Linked DNA regions of Drosophila melanogaster. The protein of the gene in region 1 interacts with the protein of each later gene in a pairwise test. Each region holds a gene or a part of one and is shown on either strand. Other genes may lie near its edges.

What was found.
Region 2: the proteins of lov (region 1) and CG6470 interact in a two-hybrid assay, tested with the Drosophila melanogaster proteins (one large-scale study listed by BioGRID).

What each region holds. Positions count from the first base shown.
Region 1 is NT_033778.4:25,136,587-25,141,433, reverse strand, and holds the start of lov (jim lovell), read left to right. Parts: upstream 1-1,806; 5' UTR 1,807-1,892; coding exon of another isoform or gene 1,893-1,993; intron 1,994-2,045; coding exon of another isoform or gene 2,046-2,370; intron 2,371-2,422; coding exon of another isoform or gene 2,423-2,773; exon of another isoform or gene 2,774-2,807; intron 2,808-4,847. Other genes in the region: CG43106 (uncharacterized protein), read left to right, coding at 1,893-1,993, 2,046-2,370, 2,423-2,773. UniProt on the Drosophila melanogaster protein: Has a regulatory role during midline cell development.
Region 2 is NC_004354.4:18,512,300-18,516,512, forward strand, and holds CG6470 (uncharacterized protein), read right to left. Parts: upstream 2,569-4,213; 5' UTR 2,411-2,568; coding exon 2,038-2,410; intron 1,531-2,037; coding exon 890-1,530; 3' UTR 530-889; downstream 1-529. Other genes in the region: HisRS (Histidyl-tRNA synthetase), read left to right, coding at 3,291-3,383.

The DNA of each region.
Region 1 (4,847 bases):
AAACTCACGGCGTGCGCGTATTTATCAAACTCTAATTAATCGGTGATAAACCGATCAAGACGCTAAATGCTGCACTACACGAAGCCGCCAAGAAACCGAAGACTTTCTGCAAACCGTCACAGGGGGATCTGCACTTTGCGCCTGAAAACCGGTTTGAAAGACCTCTTTACGAAACTTGGCTTCGATTGCATTTTTATTTCTGGTTTCAGTTTCGTAGTCCACCGATTACCATGTGATTTCCTACACCGCAACCCACCCCACCCCATCAAAATCACCCTCCACATCTCAAGCCCCTTTCGGGAGTACGAGTATTTGTTGAAGCAATTTGCTTTCTTGCATCTTGTGGCTGACCGAGGCGACTGCGATGCAATCAATATATGCTCGTGTCCAGCAAATAATAGACTTCAAACTGGCATTTTAAAAGTTTTTTTTCATAGCCAAAGTCTCGAAGTACGAAGTGCGATTGAGCCTGGAAGGAGTCCGCCAAGCGTTTTGGGTCTACAATTCATTGCTCTTACCGAGGGCAGAACACTTTTCCCCTAAATGCTCACATAGTTAAACTTATGAAAAGTTCGCTTTGTGCTGCACTAACAGGGGCCTCCAACGAGGGCCAGCTCACTATCCCTAAAGACAGCAACAACGAAGATCACTGCTCAGCAGTACAGCTAGAACATCCTGTATATGTCATAGCAATGAACTCTAATCCACTCTAGTAAATCAATTTATTAGCCACGTATGACTTATGCCTTTTTAAATAAACGCTTGCATGCGTTCTCTAGTTTAAGTTTAAGGTTGAGCGATTATAGATTGGCCATCCCTCAAGGGCGGGCTGAGTCTCAAGATACTCTTAAATAGAGGAGGCACAAGATATTTATGTTAACATGGCCTGCGTAGTAATTTGGCATTGTTGAGGTATCACGATTACGATACGACTTTAATTGTAGTAAAATACGAGCAATCGTATATGTGCTTTGCAATAGTGGCTTCGGTGCAAGCCATGATTATCTCTACTTTAAGATATGTGTGCACAAAAAATACAGTTATTTGAAAACGTTTAGCGTCAATAGTAAGAGTGTGAAATGACCTAGGCGAGTAATGCGTGCTCGTATCCGGATGAGAGTTCACTTATGGGTGCGTTTTGGTGACTTCGCAAAGCACTGCAAAAGTTAACAAACGGAGAAATATCAACAACATAGCTATATAAAACCAGTTGCCAAAAAAATGTGGTAAAAAATGCTTAGTTTATCTTGCTTAACTTTTTGTACAGCGTTTGCCTTTTCCGAGTATGCACACAAACGTTGAGGATAAATTGAAAAAGCCATTTTGCTGCCAATTTAGCAAACACTTAAACCAATTTTGCACTTCAATCCACCGACGCACACAAAAAAGGAGTGTCTCATACCTATACAGTTCCTATTCAGCTGAAGCCACACACTTGCACTTCTCGGATCCCAAGCGGATTCATGGAGCTTGCATCGACGCTGGCTTTGACGCTGTAACAAGGACGACCCAAAAGTCAGTTGCTGTGCCCCACAGGGAGGAAAGTGTAGGAAGCTTCCAAAACGTTGCCAACAAAGTGTGAAAATGTCAAGTCGTAAAGTGTCCACTGGCTGAGGGGACGCAGCGAGCGGTAGATGGGTGCAGTCTGTAAAGTGAAATGCCCTGACACCCATATCTGTTCGGGCAGTTTAAGTCAGCTTTGAGAGGAGTATCAACATTTAAAACAGGAGGACAATCGGTTATTATTGTCGCAAAGTTGATTTACAGAGAAACACAGCGTTTTGTAATATTAGAACTAACCCATTTTTACGCTCTACTCGAGAAATTAGTTAGCTTTGTATTAAAAGTCTGGTGCAATTAATGCTTTAGAATACTTTCAAATTTATCGAATAATGTCCTGTATTTGCCAATACCATGATCTCGGGGACATTGCCACCAGAGACCTAGTAGCGTTTCCTTTGCCTGCAAGTGACGACATGAGCGCTTTCAACGAGTAAGTGATAATTTAATTATCTTATCTTTTGTTACCACTGGACTTCTCTTAGGGTGAATAAAGAATCATTGGGGCATAATGCTGCTGAGATTAGATTGTCGGCCTCAAGTCTATCCGACTGCCGTGTAGAGAACTGGCTCCTTAAAAAGAAATTACGCGAATACGAAGTTACAATTGAGAACCTTGAGCAGTTGGTGACTACTATAGTTGAGAAGCAGCATCAAATTTTGAGCGAAATGTTTTCCTTACGCAAACAAAACCGAGAGCTGCAATCCGAGTGTCATCTTCAACGCGAGTATCACTCATTGGAAAGAAATGCCTTGATGAAGGAGCTGCATGACGCTCAAATCGTGTGTAGAAGTCGAAATCTGGATACGGTAAGTACAAACATAAAGAAACTAAGAGTGCATTTCTAAATGGGAAGCGCAGGCATGTCGATCAGATGAACATCAAGGTAGTGTAAGTTTGCCACCTGGGGACACGCTCCTTAAATCTGAATCCTCTTATGGTGATTTCGAAGAGGAAGACATGAGTGAATCGGACGACGGAGATCAGTGCGAAAAATGTTGGGTCGGCAATAATAAAGAGGATTTTGATGCTGGAGAAAATTACGCAGAGCCTTCAGCACTTAGTTCAGGTCAAAATTCTGGTAGGACATCACCGTCCTTATCAAGCTCAGTAACAGGGGACTCGGAATCGGCTGACGACAGATTTCTCAATAACATAAGCATTAATCAGAGCCTTACTAGTGATAGCGATCCGGAATATGCAGACAAATAATTACTACTTGATGCCTTTGAGTTTAAAGGTCTATATATTTTCTTTAATATAAAATTCAAATTATTTATAGACCAAACTTTCTACCGTGACTTTAAGTTGTCTTTCATGGCATTAAATAATCAAAACAAAAACGTGACAATCGCACAAATCAAATCAGCCATAAGTTTGACATAACGTGACGGTATCAGATTGTGTACAGACATGGCACTGCAAAGAAAAAACACGTCAATTGAGAAAAATAAGAGAATACCGACGCCCAAGTATTTGCATATTAAAACGCCAAAGGGCTGCAGAAAACCCGTTGCTAAAGTGCTCTCCTCGCCACCACACAAATATGATTGAATGGTAAGTAAATATATGTTCGCCAAAAGGGGAGTATTTAGATTACTGGCAAAAACGTGTTAAGTGTTTATCTATCGAAAAAGTTCAGGCCAAAACAGCTACCAGCCCTTTTGCAGCTTCTGGCATGACTATACATGGTTTGGGATTGGCCCCACACAAAGTTGTAAGAGAAGCGAGAATGTGTGCTTGTATTATGGGCAATTTATCAAACAGAAAGTTTTCAGCACAAATGAGTCGTGGCAAGGAAGCCGAAGGCCACCCGGGCACCCGTTTGCCAACAGGATTAATGAGTCTCGTGTGCTGCCTGTCCTATCCTACATCCTTGAAACCTGTCTCGCAGCACGTACCAATAATCTATTATGAGCCCTCTTCGAGAGGCAACTTGTGGAAGTTTTCGGGTTCTTTCCAAGATCGCTTGTCTTGGCTACGTTTTATGTGAAGATTTTTGATACTATATATGGGTGATAATATGAGACGTTATGACGTTTATCTCAGACTTGTAAGATGTTAAGCCAGAAACCACAGTTTTTCTGTTAGCATGAACAAAAGAGCATATTGCAATGCAATGTCAAAAACCTTAACTTTTCGTTGCTTGCCCTCAAGGACTTACACAAAAATAATTAATGACGAACGGCCTCGACTCAATGTAAATCGAGTCCGAAACTGTTTGCAATATCATTTATCAATTCAGAATTTTGTTTAGAAACTTGTTGCGCACAAAAAAGCTTTTCATGTACACGTGAGAAGGTACGAGGACTACCGCGGTAAAATGAATGGGATACGAGATGTGAAACCAAACAAGGCATTAAAGAAACACGCAAACATATTGAAATGCAATACCGTCTTGGCACTATAAACGCCTTGCGAATCGCATCATGATAGCTCCTGCATCAGAATCTTCTACGCCCCAAACAAGTAGCTTAAAATTGCGCGTAAGTGAGCATGGGTGCGTTTTTGAACCTTTGGTTCAGGCTACATCAAGACATATGAAACCAAAATGGTGCTAGTTGGTGGACGGTTGACTTTGTGAATATAGTTATTTTGGATAGTTATGTACAAGCGACCAACGCCGTCTTAATATTTTTATATTATGTTGTAGCAGGCTGCCTTGATCCGACGAAAATCGAATTTTCTGGATCAACGCCTACTTACTTACTCAACCGTAAAAATACATAAAACTTTTGCAAAAAAAAAAAAAAAGAAAACAAGGAAAAACCGTACTTGCGTGTTCTAAGCAATTTCAAACCAATAATCGTTGGGTGTCTTTTAAATTAAGTAACCAGAGCCATGCAAGCCAAATATGCCACATTGACATGTCTATCAATGCTGCTATGATGGCTTTGATGGGATGAGGGCAAGGACTTTTTGTTATTTTTTAATTTAACTAATCTAAAATTGGAATCATTTTATACTCAGCCCACAGGAAGTGTGGCATAACAGAAATAAAAGAAACCAATGAGTGATACATTGCGATTAATACAGGAGAGTACTATCCAATAAAGCAAGGCAGACCACATTTCATTTCTATTATACCGCGCTTTTCATATATGTATACATTTTACTTGGTTTAACACAAAAACCTGGCTGACAACTTTCTCAAAAATTTCTGGGTAGAGTTCAAAGGGGGTAAAATTTACTTCATACACCTTAATACATTCACCAGTTCATTTTATAGGGTTTCTCATGCATATTCAGAAAAGTATTTGTTTGAACAAATGTGTGTATGTACATT
Region 2 (4,213 bases), on another chromosome or scaffold:
CTGTGACCACCAGCACCTGTTGCGATCGACTGATGGCTTCGATCCGCCCGAGTTGCCGCTCATCGCCTATCTTGTATTCCCTGCACACGACCCACTACCGCCAACGCCACCGCCGCCGCCGCAAGCGCGAAAGAGATAGCGCACAGAAACTTTGAGCTTGACCGCCAAAGCTCGGCACGGAACGGAACGGTGAACGGTGAACGGTAAACGGTAAGGCAAGGTAGCGCCGGTGACGCAACGGACGTGCGTGCAGTCAGCTTCATTGAGCGAATGTATCGATGCACAGCTATCGTATCGATTGCTCGAGCTGGGTATCGAAGCGCTTCTGTAATACATCGATATCATTCTTCTTTACATATTAGATAGTGGACTAGAGAGGAAGCGATTTCTCATCGATTTTTTCGATAAATTTAAAAATATATATACCCATTTTAGTATCTTATTATGCTTTTAAAGCCTCAATGGATTATGATTCTTTTACCTTTCCGCCAAGTATCTAAGAAATGACAATTCATTGCAAGTAAATCTTCTGTTTAGTTCAAATATTTAATTATATTCAATACATTTGCATCAACGTGCTGGGGACTCTTAATTTAGTTTTAATTGACCGTCGTTTGTGGAATGTGACTATTCAACGCCAGTGTGTGTTTCGGTCTTCAGAACAGGTGAGTCTCCCACTAATCGTGTCATTGTGCTCAATTCATACTTCTAATAATTTTGCCTTCAATTCCACAAATTTTGATGATCCTGGTAAACAAATCAAATACAGTTGAGCTGCATACGCCCTGCACTTGACAATTTTCCTTTCGTTTCAATGGATTCTTCTGGTGTTTGGAAGCAAGCGTTGGTTCTGCATCCAGTTTCTGGTGAAGATTGGTAATGAGGACGACTAGCGCCAGCGCTCGTGCACTGCCGACTCGCGCATGATAATCTTCTGAAGTTTTTCCTGCTGGGTCATCTGATCCTGCTGGTTGGTGGCACTGTTTCCCTGGTGGTGAACCGGCTGCTGCGCCCGCTGAAAGTTGGGCAACGGCGCCTTCTTCTCGTGCGCCAGTTCCGTGAAGGCCAGCTTGCGGCGCTGCTGCGGCGGTATCTTCTTGCAGTAGCTCAGCAGATGGATGTGCAGCGTGCGTTCCAGGTCGAAGGAGCGATCGCAGTACTTGCACAAATGGACGGTGGTCAGGGTGGTTCTGCTCTCCCGCGGTCGCCGTGCACGGAAGCGCACCTTGAAGTCATCGTCGTGGGTGTGCCGGTGGGCGCCCAGCAGCGATCGGATGTGAAACTTGGCACCGCACACGCCGCACGAGTAGCTGGGCAGCTGCTGGTCCGTGGCATAGCTGCCCAGCGGCTTCAGCTGCAGTCGGCCAAACGGTCCGCCCTGATACTCCCCGCCATCTCCTTCATCATGATCGGGCTTCGTCGTTCCGTTGGAGGCTTGCTGTGCGGCCATAATGGCTTCCATTTCCGCTGCCTCGGCCTCGGCCTCGTAGTTCCGGGGCGTGAGGCCATTGCGACGAGGAGATAGCAATACTGTTGGAGAATGGAGAATGGAGAATTGGTTAACTCAATATGAGATCTTAAATTAATATCACTTTTAATATACTATATTAATCAGTTAAGTACTATATACCAAATTTGGTGTTAGTAGCTTTAATAAGGCCCAAGATCATATAGATAACAGGTGTCCAAATCGATTATATTTAATAACCTACAATTGTAATCGTTGTTTTAAAATAAATTGCACTTGAAACTTATGTTTCGTGATTTATATGAGTATAATAAACCAATAAAGTACTGTACACCAAATTTGGTGTCTCTTGCCTAACTAAGCACCAAGATCATATAGAAAGAAGGGTCTTAAGTAGATGATATATGTAATGATGATAAATATATACTGCTGTTTCAAGATTTTAAAGAGTTCTAATAACCAATAACGTATTGTATACCAAATTTGGTGTCTCTAGCTTGAATAATACCCAAGATCATATAGAAAGGTGCATCCCAAATCGACGATATGCAAATGTATTTGTAACTTACGATTGCAACTGCTGCGTCTTCTGTTATCGTAGTTGTTCGTCTTCTCCAGCGGCGAACTCTCCTCCTCGTCGGTCTCTTCCTGAGCTGGAGCGTGTAGCAGACTCCTCTTGCTGCGCCTGCGACGCTCACCATGGGCATGGCCAGCCATGCTCGATCCTTCCCGCCCTGCTCCTCCGCCTGCGCCAGCCGTGCTTCGCTTGGCCGCCCGAGTGGATGCACTGGCTCTGTTCGACTCGGACAGGTAGATCAGCTTGCGCTCCACCGCCCTGCGCGCGTTCTCCACCTGAGCCTCCACGAATTCCTGCGGCTGAATCCTGGAGCATCCGGTCCGCTTGGCGCGCTTCACCTTGATGGGCTTTTGCGGCTTGTTCATCTCGTGTGTGGTGTGCGTGTGTGTTTGTGTATGTGTAGCGTGTCTTATTAATTTTCAATGCTATTTTTTTAATTTCAGTTTGTAGTCAGTCGGTGTCGAAGGAATACTGAATCTAAGGGTGATGCTTAAATATATACCAATGAAACTAAGCACATCGCCTGCTGGGCAGGGAAATTTTAAATGTTGAAGTAAAAAACATTTTTCCAATCTTATATTTCATTTCGAATTTTTCGATTTTTAAACAATTTAACAATAAACAACAATTTAAACAAAAAACGCTTCTTAAAATATTTCAGGATTTGCTATTTAAAAAAAAATATATTTTTTTTAATTGATGATTTGTAATATATGTAGTTTTGACAAAAAATATTCTATTTAATGATTTTAGGATAGATAAGTTTGTGCTGTAATCGAATCAACTTATTTTAACTTATTTGAACTTGTTTAAAACAAAAAACAAACAAGATCAACTTTACGCAATCAAGTGACATGAACATTTTTATTTAAAAAAAAAAAAAAACGATAAAATTAGCTAATAAATTGTAGTGCAGTTAATATTACTAACAGTGGCCAGCATTCGTGTGTTGATTGTTGTTAATAAATTATAAATTATACACTTTACATGTCCGCCAGCCCAGTTATCAACCACGGTTTGAGTTCGCACTAGCGCACGTTTTCCCACCACGCGACGAACGGTCACATTGACCACCGCGTGCGAATTTTTTTTTTGGCCAGCAGCGCAGAAAAAGCAGCTGAAAGCTGGAAAAGACAGCATAAATCGCCGTGTCGATTCGAGACGATTGAAACGCCGCGCGCCCGCCTTTTGCAGTGGACTGTCAACCGTTTGCCGTTTTTCATTTTTGGCCATCGAGCACGGAATATGAGTGATACGCGTGAGCAGATTCTGGAGCAAATCAAAGTGCAAGGCGATCTCGTCCGTCAATTGAAAGCAGCGAAGGAGTCGAAGGAGAAGGTCAGTTTTTGGTCGTACTTCCAGTTGGAAACCGACTCCCTCCCTCCACCCAGCACTACCACTTCCACCATCCAACCCCCCCACCCGTCAGCAACGCGTCCGCCTTCCAGTGTCATCCCCCTTTGTGTGTGTACAATGGAATAAGTGCAATTGTTGCCGTAATTCCCGGCCCTGCTTTCGTCATCAAATTCGAAATCCCACTCGCATACATATTTCATCAGATCGTCATGCAGTTGAGAATAAGGGAAATAACAAAAAACACACACATGCTGCGCTGGCATTTGGAGTTGTTCGAAATCTTCGTTTTTGCAGTGTAATAATTAGATGAATGTAACATCGGAAGAGCGGTGCAAAGGAAAAACGGCAAATTAAAGGAGCGCGCAGACTTTCACATTTACATTCGCATTCGCACATTCGTGCCACTCTGTTGTTATTGTTGTCTCGCTCTGGCCAACGGCAAATGCACTGCTTCTGTGTGCGTGTGTGTTAGTGTTGTGCACAGTGATGCCAAACTATTGTCCCGACTATTTGGCTGGAAAGTAGCTTAAATTAGCAGTGCTGTCCGAAGCTGTGACTAATAGAAGCAATTGTTTATATTAATCTCTTGCTGATGTAAGTCTACTGATGCTCACTTCAAATCTTTGGCTGGATTTCCTTGAAACTGTGCTGAAAACAGTTGGAGACTTCTAGAAAACTCAATAATCTTTTGTGTTAATAAGACCTTAAAGTGATTTTTCCTGTACTCTTTGATGTTCTAGACGCTGTCCAATTAGAACAAGTATTGTACAGGTATTAAATAATCCAATTGGGATACTTAGGATATCTTTCAG